3 linked regions of the Saccharomyces cerevisiae S288C genome follow. The gene in region 1 interacts genetically with each later gene. Each region holds a gene or a part of one and is shown on either strand. Other genes may lie near its edges.

Region 1 (7,410 bases):
ATAGCGAGTAGAATTCTTCGGGTTTTTAAGCATCTTCATTGTCTTGATATTCGTATCCACTGACTTGTGTTCCCTATTGGTCTTCTTCTCTGTAGCTAGTTTACCTTTCCAACGGCCATCTTGCACTTCTAAATTCTGTATTGATAAACTAGTTCCTAACCGTCTAATTTGGAATCGTGATACGAAACCGAATGTGCTAGTCAAACTTCTGAATGAAAGCATTCTTCACGCCATATTATGATCATTTATTAAATGTCTCCCGTAGGAGCTAGAGGAGCCTCACACAACATACGCACACATTTATATTCACCGAAAAATTAAATACAAAATGGAAAGTAGAGAAAGGAGAGAAGAAGTAGACCATCTCATTAAACCTACATTTGTCTTTAGTATCAGGAATATGTATAAGAAAGGTGACCTACCCCCTTTACAACGGTGAATTAGATGAATCAGCTAGCCTAAATATAGTATCTAAGACATTGTATATACTTTACCTTTAACTGATGCGTTATAGCGCCGCACAGATCTTTAAAGGCCTACCTCTGTAAATCGATAACAGATGATTTTCCGGTTTTGTGGCAGTATAATATTGCCCACCTATTCCCTTTATGAGCCTCTTTGGAGAGGTTATTATAAATGCTCGTGGCAAAGCTTCTAGGAGTCGAGTTATTACCTGACCCAAAAACTTTTCTCAGCCATTCTTCCTTCTGAGCCAAAGAAGTAATTGAGATTATTTCTAAAGTTTCATCTCTTAAGGCATCAACAGTGATAATTGGTGCATTGGATAAATTGTGTAATATCATATTCGAAGAATTTCTGGCTGCATCCTCATAAACCCACTTTTCCCTTTTATTAGCTTTCTTAGATCTTGTAGCCATGTTTGGAACATAAATTACCTTTTGATTATTAGTCGAACCAGCAACAACATCATCTATGTCACCTTCTTGACTACTACCGGCACTGCTGTTTTCATCCCATCTTTTAAATTCATCAGCCTTATCGCCCAAAGTGAGACTATCGTTGATCAAAGATTTATTACCAGTTTCTTGTTGGTACAAGGTTAAAAACTCATCAAGATCTAAATCTATGTCAACATTAGTGCTCAATTTTTTTATTTTTAATGGCTTGTACTTTCTCTTGTGATTGGTTAGTGGATACGCTTGTTGCTTAATCAGCAAAATCCAGTCTATACCATCCTGTTGAGCGCCAGTAACGACATCATCCACCGAGGAACAATCCCTTAACATATCCGCTTTAATGTTTTGCTTCCACAATGTATTCAGTATTGTAACCCCGATTGTGTCCAACAAAGAGTTCGAAAAACTCGATATCAATACATCACACCTGCTTGGCTTCCAATCAACAGCTGTATCTTTCAAAAACCTATTTCTCTTCTTTATCCTATTTCCAGAAGCGAGTTTGAAATAGTTTTGGGCTATACCGAATATTGTTTCCCACGCTAAGTTGAAACCTACAGCCTTACGAGTATTGCTGCTCTTTTTTCCTGATGGTCTGGCAAAAAAGGATATCAAAGTGTCATACCTCCCTCCAGCAGCTATCATATTACGTGAGGATCCATCGTCATAAACTGCATGAAACATGATACCTCCTTTGTAAAAAGCGCTATTGTAGTTACTCAAAGGAGATATCACAACATTTCTTGCAACTTCTAAGGGTTTTAGGTAACTGAGAACCTTTGATATATGGGACAAAGAGTCCTCAATTTTTTTTAGATGCGGACTATCAATCATCAATTTATACAGGCGTTTTTTGGCTGCTTCGAAGTCCAGTCTAAAATCAAATAACTCCAAATCATTCAATGCCGTAGAAGATATGTTCAGTTGCGCCTTTAGTTCATTCTTTACTTCCTTGAAGGACCTTGCAAAGCCTACTTGCGACAACATTCGTGAAACTAGAGGCCTTTGGGCTTTATCAATATTTGTAAAGTTGAAAACACTCTCCAAAATATCAGCATGATTTAATATGAAAAAAGTGTTTGTTTTCTCAAATACAGGAAATACGGTTAATATTTCATCGATAATTTTCAAGCTTTCTGCATCATAAAATCCTGACTCTGAGGAAGATTTTGAAATTATGTCGAAGTCAATCTCACCAAACTTTCTAGGTTCCAAACTTGACCTTGAATGATCAGGAGGTCGGTAAACGTGCTGCATCCTATATTGCTTAGAAATCAGACTTGGATTTTTAGATAGATACCTAGCCATAGGATAAGTTAAATCATATTGTAACTGCAAGACGGTACCGCCCTTGTCAAGCACTTCATATACATTCTGCGTACCGTATATGGGGGCCTTTGGAAAAATCCTCGGAGGAGCATTATTTTCAATTCCTCCATGTTTCCTGAAAATTTTAACTACCTCTTCTGTCATTTGGGACCTGAGAATGTTTGCGAAAGGAGTGGATGTTGGAACTGAGTTATCAAATAGAATATCATTTGTTAGACTGTAAGATTGGTTAAATAAACTTTCTCGAACTTGCTGTTGCCAAGGGGATGAAGGATTCGACAAACTTTTTAAAGCCTCTTTGATTACTTCATCCTGATGCTTCACAGGAAGCCAACCACTATTTAATAATGTCCTAGCACCAGGCCTTTTATTGGGATCATGGTCTATGAGTAACCTTATAATTTTCTTTTCAACTTTCATCTTATTATCGTCGAAATCAGGAGGAAATTCTATCGACACTGATCGTAACTTTTTCAAAATATTAACTCTCTCCATACCTGTACTGAAAGGATAGATCATTTCAAAAAAAATGATTCCAAGTGAATACATATCAATCTTTTCATTATAGTGACCTGTACCATCTAAAACTTCAGTAGCAACATACATTGCTGTACCAATGGCGGATGTTAAATTATCTGAGCTGCCTGGCAAATTCTGTGAATCTAGCTTAAGTATATCCAGAGATCTATGGACGTTCTTAGCTAACCCAAAATCACCGATTTTAACATTTCTCGATTCATCTATAAAAATATTCATTGGCTTCAGATCCCTATGAATGATACCCTGGGAATGTATATAACTCAGTGCTTCCAAAATTTGTCGAAATAACCTCCAATATTCATCACGTTGTTGATTTAAATTTTCAGAATGGATCAAATCATATAGCGTTCTATTTTCACAGTACTCCATTTGAATAAAAAGCGTACTTTTCTTCTTAACAGCAGTCATCGGTTTTACAAAATTCCTCCTTCTTGGAACGTTCTGGATACTCTTTGATTCTTTATCAGTATCATCTTGACTTTCGCTCGAGGAAGTCGAGGAAGTATCATGGTCTAGATCTTCATTTTCATCATCACGAGAACTATTTTCAAAGACAATATCCGGATATCCTGACCCCGATATGAAATCCCAGTTACTATTATCCAAATCGTGATTTGTTCTATTTTTAAAAATACTGCTTTGATCTAATAAATCATTTTCCTCAAAATCAGAGGAAGATTCGCTCAAGTCACTTTCTTCATCAGTTGATTCAAAAACGTTTTCATCCATACTGTCTTCTTCTAACCATGCAGCATAGTAACGCACAACATATTGATGATTTAAGCTTGCTAACAGCATTACTTCACTCAATATAGTAGATAACTTTTCTTCTGTATGTCTAATCTTCTTGATCGCATAGTATCTGCTATCGAGAGCATTACGTGCCTTGACAACTTGTCCAAATGCGCCCTGGCCTAAAACTGCAATCTCTTCAAAGTCAGAAGCATATCGTGATCGCGTTGCAGGATTTATAGAAGAGAATCTGGAACCAACATTAAATGATCTTCTTCGTATACTCGATTGTGAAAGTGTTCTACCTCCATTGCCCCGAACGGTTATGGTATCTCCAGGAGTTAACTCCAAGGAATTAGAATTGACACTTTCGGAAACTAAGTTAAATCGATTGATTGTAGAGTCAATATTGGTCCTTAAGAATTTCATGGGCAGTAGTTCTAATGTTCCTAATCTTTTCTTCGGATCGTTATTAAGCATTTTCGAAAGAAGATCATATAAAGTTTCATCCATACTTGTTGAATCTAGGAATTCTTGAGGCGTTTCAAAATTCATCACTATATCAGATCCACTGATTATCTGGATAAACAAAACACCAAGTTGCCAAATATCAGTTAATCTTTGAGGTTTGGCGTTATTGAATTTCAACAACTCAGGGGCTATCCATGTACTTGGAGATAACTCAACCGAAGAACCATTTTTATTTGGATATCTCGATAGCATATTCAAAACAGTGTAGCCATAAGTGGAGTGAACTAACTTGGGAATAGTGCTTCCAAAATCTGCATCCTTCACCAGGATCACGGTTTCTAAGTTGATACATTTATGAACAATTCCCAATTTGTGTATGGCCTCCAATCCTTCAAGCAATCTAATCATCCAAATACGCGCTGTTGCTAAGTTAACAAATCCAACAGATTGTATCAAATCTCCCAATGGATAGTAGTTACAGTACTCTGTCAAGAGTCTTATTTTCCAAACAAACGTTGCATTATTTCTCCCCATGCGCTCCACCGTATAACCGAACAATCGATTCACATTGTCATGCTTAGCTTTCAACACCGTCTCTAACTCTTTCTCTAAATTTGCTATTTCTTTTTTTCCATTACTTGTGTTGAAATAGCTATTATCCAATTCAATTTCAGATAGCAAATAGTAGAAATTTTCCATCATTTCAGAAGACATTAAAAAATCTGCCAACGGAGATTCTGGTGGTATATAAGGCTTCACAAGAAATTGTTTGGAAAAACTAAATATATCTGATGTCAGTTTTATTGGCTTAGGATTTACAACTGCTTTAAACTTGAACATTGAGTTATTAGGCAATTTTGCCTTTATAGTTTTTGAAAAGACAATAGCTTCACCTGATGCAACCCATTCTGAAGGTGGTTGTAAATCTAACTGGGTTGTTCTGTTGAATAGCAAATCATCATCATCATCTTGTCTTTTCTCCAACTCTCTTTGAACAATTTCATCTATCCTTCGCTGCTCATCTGATCTTTTTTTTATTGTTTCCTGTTGTTTTTCTCTTTCTTCCTTTTCTAATTGTTCTTTAGTTTCTTTGATTCTTTGTAATCGATCATCTTCCAAGGACTGTGTATTTACCACATTTTGAAATTCGTCCAGTTTTTCTTGAGTAAAAGATGTAATTTCAAATATAATCTCTTGGCCTCGGGAGGTGTTGTGGATTTTCTTAAATTCACTTTTCAGCATTTGCAATTGACTATCCATTACATTTTGTACATTTTTGAATTCTATTTCTGGAGCGGTATAAGGATACATTGGGGTCATCGCAAAATGTAATGTTATAGAAGATTCAACCGGCTCTTTGTCAACAGATCGAAGCGTAATTTCGAATATAATCTGTGGCTGCTTATCCCAGCTAGACTTTCTTTTAGTTAAGTCAGTAAAGTCATCCATATAAATGGAACGTATCGCTTCAAGTTCGTTGCACTGTATTTCATAATATTGATCTAAAGTGAGATGACTCAATGACATTTATACATAGTATGTGTTAAGGGGAACGGAAAATTATTGAAAAAAAAAATCAATGCTTATAAAATCTTAAAAGACAACGAGGCTTTCCAACAATGTAAAGATTGAAAATTTAGTGTATTTAATGTCCTTTTGTAATGAAAATAACTTCTTGTAAGAAAGAAGATAGAGATAAATGTAAAAGTAAATTTGCTTAAAAAGATTCTAGGCTGTTTATAGATTGATTACACCAGGTTCTTATCTCAAAAATCAGCTACTCAACTGCTTCCTAAGAAACTACCTACATCACTATAGTCCAACTTAAAACAAATAATAAACTTCTAAGGCTTTCGTGTAAAGTGATGTTGGGATTGTCCGATGAAATAACAAGCAGGCCCTTGCACGTCAAGATTAATTTGAATAAAGAAGTAACATGTCATCTTTATGTAATCGCTGTTATTCCATACAGAACAATAAATACGTATATTTCGTATGTCATGTGGAGTATATATTCTTTTTTATTCTTACATACCTTCATCGGACAAAGGATGTAATTCCTCATCCGGGATCCTCTGATGGGTGACTGCTTCCTCCAGGGTGACATCTGAATCGTCCATCAATGGTTTGAACGGAAGAGGATCATCAATGGGTGGGAAGATTCTTCTGTAGAAAAAGTGTGCCATTATATAACCCAACATAGACCCTAAAATTACATCGACGAAATGATGTCTGTAATCTTGAGTTCTGGATAGAGCAATTAGTGCAGCTCCTAACAGTGGTAGAAAGGCCACCATTTTTCTCCATAAAGGCATCAACGGTGATTCAGTCAAAAGTTGCCCACATAGCCAGAAGTACAAATAACCCAGTCCTGCAAAGCTTTCACTTGAATGACCTGACGGAGTTGTCCTAAACCCATCCAACAGACGTTCGTGATTCTTAGTCGTACACACATCTTTTGCAGTAAATAAAGTGTCCAATGGCAAGCCTTCAACAGGTTGGCAACGATCTAGAAAATCTGGTCTTAGTCTTCCAATCCAATTCTTGATGAAGTTTGTAAAGAAACTCGTACTGAACCAAGCGAGTGATAAACCAAGGAGAGATGTGTACAAAATAAAAATCAAATGTCTTCTATCGGCCAAAATGGAACCAATTATCAATATGGTTAAAGATGGCACGACAAAACTATAAACAAACAACATGTTGTTATTTACACGTTCAGTTGTCGCATAAGGATGCGATATAGTGAGATCGTTAATGTAAAACTGACGTTCGAACGGTTGTTGGTAATACACTGGGTAGTTAAGAAGTATCATGATAATGAGCAAAAAGACATCTTCTAATCTCCATTTCGCCCCTATGTTGAAAGGCGTTTTAATAAACGAAACTCTGTTCATTTTGGTCGTTTGCTATGATTTAATTCTGATTCTTTGCCTTTAACAATTGATAACGTGCCCTTTATTGAACTGCTAACTACTCGAAAAATTGGACACAATTCAGTTTATAGCAGGTGTCCTTTAAGTGATGTTTGCTGATTTCCGAACTGCGCGTATGTTAGTGGACCCTAGATAACAGTTTATTCCCTAACGTTTCTAGATAATATATGACAAAAATATACAACCGATCGACAAATTATTTCTAAAATACAAAAAAGTTAGTCGTGAGGTTATCCAACGTTGGGTTTCTATCTATATATAAAAGCTAATCACCAAACAATTGAGAATCAACGCCGATAACATGATGTACAATTATAGCAGTATACGCCAGGCGTGCTGCATTTATTCTTTACCCTGTCATCGTTGACGAATACTTTTTTTTAAAGGGATCGCACTCTAACCACCTGAAAGGTACTATCTGAAAAAGTGTTGACTAAAAACAGAAGCGCCTTAATAATAGTGCACTACTGGAAAACTATATTTAA
Region 2 (4,791 bases), on another chromosome or scaffold:
AAGACACCATCAAACATGGCACCTTGTTGTATATCCGAAGACTGTTGTGTACGTTTCTTAAAAAGTCTATCAAGAATATTAAAATGTCTTCCTATTTTTCCTATATGTCTGGCTGCTTGTTCCCTCAGCTGGTGTGGTACTAGTCTTTCTGTCGTACTATTTCCTCCACTGCTGCTTCCCTCGTCCTCTATGCTATCTTCCTCGTCAGACCCTATTTCCGTTTCCCCTTCTACGCCAGTTTGTGTGTCTCTAGTTCGTCCTGCGTTTCCGACATTTATGCCATCAGTAGATGAACCTGCATGAAGTGTATTCATTTCTTGCCCTATAAGTAGTTCTTGCTCTGGCATAGCGCTTAGTTTCCTAGACTACGTGTTCTTGTTATTCTCATGCTCTTTTTATGTATCTAAATTGGAAGATTTTTATAAAGGTTATGTACTATTCTTCTAAAAAAAGTAGGCGCAAAGGGACTCCGCATCGTATAACACGATGATAATACAAATTCTTCCACGGTTATTTACATCTCCGGTATATTTTATATATGTGTATATATTTTCTATGTATTCTGTGTGTTATTGTTACTGCTACCATTATTGCTATTAGTCAACAATGTCGCTTCGCTATCATGTGGTGCTACTGGAGGTGCTATAGGAAGACTAGGTGTAGGTACCGATTTACTAGCTGCCCCACCTGGGATTACTGGCTGCAGTGTGGGATTGGGTGAATTAGTAACAGTGTGATTGGCAATCGGGTTTGGGATTGAAGGTATCGTCACACCAGCGCGAATGTTACTATTCAGCTTAGTTTTCAGCGATTCTGGACTCGGAAGCATTGCATTGGTGCCACTACTTGTGTCATTGGGCGCTGCTGCGAACTCTTCTTTTGTATTAACTTTCCCAGGCAGTTTAATAGAAAGTAGTAGCGAATGACCCGGAATATGGTCAATAATATAACAAGGAGGTGAAACTGGCTTAGGTCTATCTGGCCTGCTTTTATAAGTGGTTGTGTTTCTCAATTCGTACGATTCCACAGAAGGGCCTACGTCAACACCACCAGGCATTAAAGTGCTAGGTACTGGAGTCCTGAAAGTTCTTGGAATATCTGCAATATCTGGCAGTAAAATCTCTCCTGGTGGCAACGATGAAGCATTTCCTGCTGCTACTGTGTTGTGAACGCCGTTCATAGATGTATTACTTGCAGATGTGCCGGACAATGCGAGCATACCACGTCTATTAGATCTACCTTGTCTTCTTTTCCTTCTTGTGTCTCTGTCCTTATCTTTATCCAATCTCTCTAACTCTGCAGCTGAAATCTGTAATAGGTTTGGAGTAAAAATTTTGCTTTCCGCTGCAGGCCTATAAACATCATCAAGAGTAATCGTTGGGAGCATTCTGCTTCTAATGTCATCATCTTCTATCGCTGATCCATCAAAATTGTAACCTAACAGTGCCAGTGATTTATGATACATATGAACTTGCTCTCTTATGGAGTGAGCAATGGCAGTCACAAACTCACCTGGTAGTTCTAATTCTTGACACATGGACTCTGCAAACTCTTCTGGACAGTTATCACTATTAGAGATGTCCCACTCAAATTGATCGATTAACTGGTTTTGTCCCACGACAATATCCAGCTTGATTCTAATTCTCAAGTCATCACCGCCTAGACGGTCCTGATTCAACTCTATATATGGATTTCCTTGAAACTCCTGAATCTGCTCTTGTATAGATTGACAAATAGTATCAATGTGTTGCTCTCTCGTAGCGTCCTCAAATCGGTAATCTCGCAACATGTCGTCCACAAAGTCTTCAATTTTAATAAGCTTGTCATTTTTGTTCCATAACAAAGTGTCCCTGAGGAAGAATCTGTCACGATCTTGATCGAACTCCAATCTTATGGGAACTAACTGTTCCGATGTCTCATTCATGGCCTGTTTATAGACTTTTAATTTATCCTCTAGGTAATGCTTCCTATTTCCAACTTCTACTTGTGGAATAACTCTGGTAGTTGTATTCGTAATCCCATTACCATACCCTGAGTAACCATTTCCCCAAATACTTGCCGAAGGAATCTTCTGAGAAGTGCTTGTGATAGATTTCATTCTAGTGTTCTTCAAATCTTGATAATACTTCAGTGTATGCCACAGTCTACTAATATACTCTTTATTACTAAATCCATAAATGCTAAACGGATCGTAACCATTGGTTTCTCTTATTAGCGAATATTTGTTAATTTTATCACGCTGGATAATTTGTTCGTACAACAAAGTATCCGTATCTGCTTTTTTGTCTGACCAATAGGTTGGATATGGTAGCTTGGTTTCTGGTGGATCGTATTGAATAGTTTGGTACTTGGGTAAGTTTAATTTTGGAAGTTGAGGAAGTTGGCCAATAGTTGGCTGAACATTGGTGGGAGGTTGTCCACTCATGGATCTAACTTGAGGAACTTGCTGAGATTGCGGTATTTGTCCTTGCTGCTGCTGCTGCTGCTGCTGCTGTTGTTGTTGTTGTTGCTGTTGTTGTTGCTGCTGCTGTTGCTGTTGCTGTTGCTGCTGTTGCTGTTGTTGTTGTTGTTGTTGCTGATGCTGCTGCTGCTGTTGTTGTTGCTTTTGTTGCTGCTGTTGTATTTGCACATGATGCCTAAACTGTTGTTGCTGTTGTCGCTGTATTTGGTTTCTAAGTTGCTGCTGCTGTTGCTGCTGAACCAGCAATTGCCTCTGCTGTTCTAGCTGAGTTTGTGCCGTTTGCTGTCCCTTTTGCTGCTCAATTTGGCGTTGCACTTGTTGTTGTGCAACAGTAATTGCATTCACAACCTGTGGATTATTTTTTGCTATGGCCTGCTGCCTCAACTTGTTCAAAACTTGTTGCTGTGTAGCCAAAGGTAACTGAGCAATTTGTGGAGGCAAATTAATAGGCGCTGGAGCTAAGGGCACTTGACCAATTTGGGGATGTAAGTTGTGTGGTGCTGGAGGAGGAGGAGGGGTAGAAGTCGCTGATTGATTAGCAATGGGTTGAGATTGTTGCGGAGGAGGGGGTGGAGATTGATGCGTTTGCGGTGGCGGTGAAGTTTGTTGTTGTTGTTGTTGTTGTTGTTGTAGACGACTCCTCAGTAACTGTTGGTGTCGTTGCTGAATCATCTGCAATTGTTGTGGTGTGAGGCTCTGATACAGCTGTTGCGGAATTTGCGCCATGTTAAAAGATGGAGTTCCAATGTTGCTAAATATATTTCCAATACTATTTGGAACGCTGTTGGTACCCTGCGGCTGATTATTCATTGTTGCTTTTGTGTAGTTCTTTACTATATGTTCCCTTGATGATGCTTTGTTTTGGTGTTTATGTTTGAAATTTCAGTTTCTTTTAAATGCGACGAAAAATGAAATTTTTGGTCAAAGAACAAGAAGAGATTTATTTAAAGTTGGCGATAACAGGACTTGGGCAACAACAGAGGCTGTAAACCTTACCAACCCAACCAAAATAGATGTATTTGTCATTCTATATCACTGATACAAAGAACAAACTTATTTTCCAGTATCTTTTAGGTGCAACAGCTCCCTCCTTCAAGCACCTGTGGACCCGCGTTCAGTCCACATGTCCTCAATTGCTCGAAGATAGCAGTAGTGATGATTATTTAGACCATTCAATGGTTGGAAGAGATTTAGAGGTCTATAAGTATTTCTCAGTTATAAATAAGCTCAATTATTGGTGCTTAGCCTCCACTTCGAAGTCAAAAGGCCCGCTTGATTGTTTTACCTTTTTAGAGACTATAGATCGTATCCTGTTAGAATATTTTGACAAGGATAAATTAAGTATCAAGAAAATTGTTAATAATTATGATAGAATCAGTTTGATTTTTAACTGTTGCGTCGAAGCGGGTGAACCAAATGTGAGTGATATGCTCTATGTTAATAAAATTAAAGAAGCTGTTCCTGAAAGATCGGATTTATCGAAGTTCATAAGTTCTACAGCCCATAATTTACAGCAGGCTGTGCAACTCCCACAACAAAGGCAACAGCAGCTACAACAAAATCAGATTTCTCGTGGTAGTAATTCACTAATCGAAAATGAAGAGATTGTTCCCTGGAGAACTTCAAGGGCTAGCAAACATGAGAATAATGAGCTTTATGTGGATTTGTTAGAAACATTCCATGTTGTATTTGAAAAGAAAAAATCACATCTAAGGTTGCTCACTGGAAGTATCCATGGAATAGTGGACGTGAGATCTTATTTGAATGATAATCCTCTAGTTGCAGTAAAATTAAACACTATGGGAAATGATATAGGTATACCCAGTTTGCATGACTGTGTTGAAATCAATGATGGTGTGTTTTCTCCCTCTAATATAACGTTTATACCACCAGATGGGAAGTTCAGATTGCTGGAGTATTCCGTCGATTTAAGTTCTCAAGTAAAGCAATCCGGAGTAAGGATGAATTCTATTGGCTTGATGTCTTTACACTTCCAAAATGGATTGGGTAAAGATTCTGATGAATTTGAGTTATCCTTAAATATTGAAAATTTCAAAAAAGTTTCACAAGTTGATGACCTAAAAATAGATTTACAGTTCAATGTTGAGAATGCTGATCCAAATGAAATAGCATATAAGATAAAAATATTGCGCAATACTCATGGCCGTTTTGAAAATAGCATTATCATGGGTCAAGGACAATGGATTTTTGATAAATCAACTGCCACTGGAACGGTACCTGTACTACGTGGCTGTATTGAGTATGAAAATACTGGGCCAAATTTTACAAAAAAAGTTGATTTACAAACAGTCTCCTTAGAATATTCTTAC
Region 3 (3,979 bases), on another chromosome or scaffold:
CGATGTGTACTAACCACTATACTAAGATGGCGAACTTATATAAAATAAAACCTTTTCAAGGTTATATATACTCAATAGATACTGAATAATTTTGGAGCTTCATTATCTTTGTGCAATTGTCTCCATGTACAAACCACCGATAAGATTTAGTGTAGAGTATGTTGGGTGTAAAAAAAGAAAGGCAGTTTATTGACTACTGGTGTAACTAGACGATAAAGGTTTGAGAGGTTTTCATGGCATCAATGGGAAATAAATGAGTTCGAGAACTATGAGATAAATATTTGCTTAATATTATCGCGTTTAGTAATTTTTTCTTAAAAATACGTAAAACATGTTAAATATACAGTTGAATACTATGTAAGAAGGAAAAAAAAAGAAAGAAAACGTTATAAAAAGAGAATAAAGATCATCAATGTCATTACGCATCAATGTATATGAGCATATTGCAATAACCAGAAGTGTCAGTTTCCCTTCCTCCTAGCCCGTTTCTTATCTTCACTTTCTTTCAGATTAATTATGAAATTTTTGTCTTTGCAGTGGTTTTATTGGTTCCTTAAGCGATGGGTTCCAATGTAGTACCCTTTTTAATGGTTGCCCAACCAATCAAACGCCAATGCTTTTCGATACGTCTCGACAAAGCAATCTTCTCGTTAATTTCAGTACAAGCGGGCGACGTTAACTGTAATCTTGCCATATCAGCTTTAACGGCAACCACACGAGCCCCCGTAGCGGTAGAACCAATGTTGACCATAAGAACTTCATTTGGCTCTAATTTTCTGACTTTGGCTTGCTTTTGACCATCTGTTTTGACACCTAATAGACGACGTAGCAAAAAGTAGTTGATTTCGATATCAGTATAAATGTTTGGCAAATGACCCTTAGCACCGACGACTTGACCGACAAGACGATCAGCTCTACACAAGGTAGGATCAACTTTAGTACCAACACCAATCAGACCACCGGGAACAGCAAACTTCAAGTCATTTTGTTCGGCAAATAAGGAGACAATGTTAGAAAAGATTGGTTTACATTGAATTTTACCCTTATCATCCTTGGTGACAATACCTGGTCTAATCTCAATTTCATCACCTAATTTGAAAACACCATTCAAAATAGAACCACCGGCAACACCACCTTTCAGGTCCTCGATTTCAGCACCTGGCTTATTAACATCAAATGAACGAATAACAATTAACCTTGGAGAAATCATAAAATCTCTTGGTGGTACGGGAATAGTCTTGACAATAAATTCATTAACTGCGTCGATGTTATACTTCAACTGAGCGGATATTGGTACAATAGGAGCACCGTCAGCAATGGTACCTCTGATGAACTTCAAGATGGATTTTTGGTGTTCTAAGGCACTTTCTTCACGCATTAAATCGACCTTATTCTGTAAGATGATGACGTGCTTTAATTTCATGATTTCAATGGCAGCTAAATGCTCTGAGGTTTGAGGTTGTGGACAAGATTCATTACCTGCAATCAACAGTAACGCAGCATCCATAACAGCAGCACCTGATAACATAGTACTCATTAAGATATCGTGACCGGGACAGTCAACAAAAGAAACGTGACGGACCAATTTGTAACGCCCCGGACAACCTGGTCTTTGACATTTAGGACTGATTTCTTTATCAGATTTGAATGATCTATAACAATCAGGTTCGGGACATGTAGGCTCTTGACATTTATAAATTTTAGCATTAGCGTAACCTAACTTAATAGTAATGTTACGTTCTAATTCATCCTTAAAACGGACTGTTTGGACACCTGAAATAGCCCTAACTACTGTGGATTTACCGTGGGCGACATGACCGATGGTACCGATGTTTATTGTAGCTTGCCTGTTGATAATTTCGGCGGATAGTGGGTTTAATTTTGAAAAATCAGGGTTTAATGGTTGTTCGGGCAAACCACCACCTTCTTCAAATTCCCTTTTCCTTTTTTCTTCTTCAGTTTCCCCGTCTTCTTCCAAGCCAGTGAAGGCGACTTTCTTCTTTGGCTTATCAGCATCTTGTGTTTCTTGTGTTTCTTGAGCTACAACTTCCGTTTCTTCAACGATATCTGGTTCACCAACTGGTTCCAAATTACCGTTGATAATAATGCTAGGTTCTTGGTCTTGTAAGTCACTCATGTCTACCTCTAATGCGCGATGTTAACGGTGTATTACGCTCTTTCCGCCCTCTTTGCTTAGCTCCTGGTACAGGTCGAGATGAAATCTCTGTCTTTTGTACTGATGATCAGCATCGGGCTATTCTATGAAAATTTTTTCAATGGCAAATCTGGTCCGGGTTACTGACATGAGAGCAAATAATAAGCATAAATTAAAGCATATTGATATACTTCATATAACAAGTATATATCACATCACGCCAAGCTTACGCATAATGCTAGTAATAAATAGATAAACAAAGAGCGTTCTTATTGATCTAAGGTCGCCACCTTTCTACCCACACGACTGCGGTCAAAATCAATATCGAATCTTGAGTTGATGACGTTACGTTTCTTGGAATTTAGAGATGTAGCTGAAGATGCCGAAGAGGATGTGCCATCAGCATTGCCAGCAACTATTTCAATATCTGTCTCATCATCTGCTTCCAACCCATTACTTGCCACTTCCCGCGGTTGGATCTGTAAAATTTCATGGCCTGTATTTAATTTTTCCTTTTCTGTGGGAACGGAAACTGCGGAACTTGAATGATCATTGTCTGCGCTCATGGTCAAGCCATTGAAGGTTTTCTGCAAATTCTTCATCGATGGTGTTTTAGATATATTCCTACTGTCAATGTGGCCTTCCAAATCGAAAAACCCGCCATACCTGTTCAAATTTACCTGTGATGAAGAAGATGTTTTGCGGGAGCCATTGACTGTATGGCCGTTACGTTTCGGAGGATTATTGACTGCATTGTCCATTTCATACAATTTATCGACCACTGGACTGATCTTCACGCCAGTTTTATTATGAGAAGTGCCGCGTGACATCCTCCAGTAGGAACGAATTTCGCCTAACACCCAACTTAACATAAACATTAACCTGTCACCCTGTCGAAATTGCGATGTCACGGTCAAATCTACTTGATCATCTTTAATGATGTACCCTATTCCAAAGCCATGAGGTACAGCAGGAGTTATACCAAATGTCGTGGTAGCAGCATTACCACAGTTGGCAACAATCAACTCAGGCTGTGAGAAAGGTAAAACAAGTGGATTTTCGAAAAGATCTTTCGCAGCAGATGATTCATCACCACTTAAGTGGATACCAAAATGGTCATGAAATTTGAAGAGATATTTCAATGCATTGAAGTGTTTTTCATAACCTACCCCAGACTTTGCATGTTTAACCATGTTATTATGTGTTTCGCAGGTTTGGATAAATTTGTCTAATTTATCTGTCCCATCAATGGAGCTAGAAATAAACAATTGACATAGTTCCAACAGCGCTTGACTTTGAATGTTAATAAAAGATGATCTCGAGTTTTTGAAACCACGTGTGGATACTGGTTCTAATCCAAACACCATTCTTCCATACAAAGCATAGTGAGCTATTTGTAAAGCTACTTGAACCATCGAATCGGGCTTGACTCCTAATCTTTGAGCTGACCTTCTGCCCAATGGAATAGAAGCGCGAACAATATCATACTTGGAAATCAGATCAGCTAGTTTGGTTTCTGACAAATGGACATGTGTGTTCAGGATGTTACTGAAAGACCAATCGATTTTATTTACAACCAACTTAGGGTCAATTTCAGAAGGGCCTCCGCCGTCGGCACTTATGGTCGCCGTCATCAGTTTTTTAGTTTCAGGATCCATTTGTGTCACGTTAGGCCAGAGTGAAAACTGTGGGTCACCGGCGTTAACGTCTCTAGCTAATCTCAAGACTGATTCTGTATAAATTTCAGAAGTAAACCGAAGCACGACTGACCCGTCACATGTGAAGGAATCCCAAATCACTGTGGCTTTTGCATCTGCAGTGACA

What was found. A genetic interaction does not mean that the proteins touch.
Region 2: mutations in GCN2 (region 1) and SNF5 together harm fitness more than expected from each alone (negative genetic interaction), as found in Saccharomyces cerevisiae (3 studies listed by BioGRID).
Region 3: of GCN2 (region 1) and GCD11, a mutation in one rescues a mutant of the other (synthetic rescue), as found in Saccharomyces cerevisiae (3 studies listed by BioGRID, with this or other methods).

Annotation. Positions count from the first base shown.
Region 1 is NC_001136.10:1,024,534-1,031,943, forward strand, and holds GCN2 (serine/threonine-protein kinase GCN2), read right to left. Parts: upstream 5,517-7,410; coding exon 537-5,516; downstream 1-536. Other genes in the region: MRX10 (Mrx10p), read right to left, coding at 1-222; DPP1 (bifunctional diacylglycerol diphosphate phosphatase/phosphatidate phosphatase), read right to left, coding at 6,017-6,886. UniProt on the Saccharomyces cerevisiae protein: Metabolic-stress sensing protein kinase that phosphorylates the alpha subunit of eukaryotic translation initiation factor 2 (eIF-2-alpha/SUI2) on 'Ser-52' in response to low amino acid, carbon, or purine availability.
Region 2 is NC_001134.8:778,147-782,937, reverse strand, and holds SNF5 (Snf5p), read right to left. Parts: upstream 3,272-4,791; coding exon 554-3,271; downstream 1-553. Other genes in the region: BSD2 (Bsd2p), read right to left, coding at 1-347; APM3 (Apm3p), read left to right, coding at 3,475-4,791. UniProt on the Saccharomyces cerevisiae protein: Involved in transcriptional activation. Component of the SWI/SNF complex, an ATP-dependent chromatin-remodeling complex, which is required for the positive and negative regulation of gene expression of a large number of genes.
Region 3 is NC_001137.3:203,409-207,387, reverse strand, and holds GCD11 (translation initiation factor eIF2 subunit gamma), read right to left. Parts: upstream 2,138-3,979; coding exon 554-2,137; downstream 1-553. Other genes in the region: carnitine O-acetyltransferase YAT2, read right to left, coding at 2,425-3,979. UniProt on the Saccharomyces cerevisiae protein: As a subunit of eukaryotic initiation factor 2 eIF2, involved in the early steps of protein synthesis.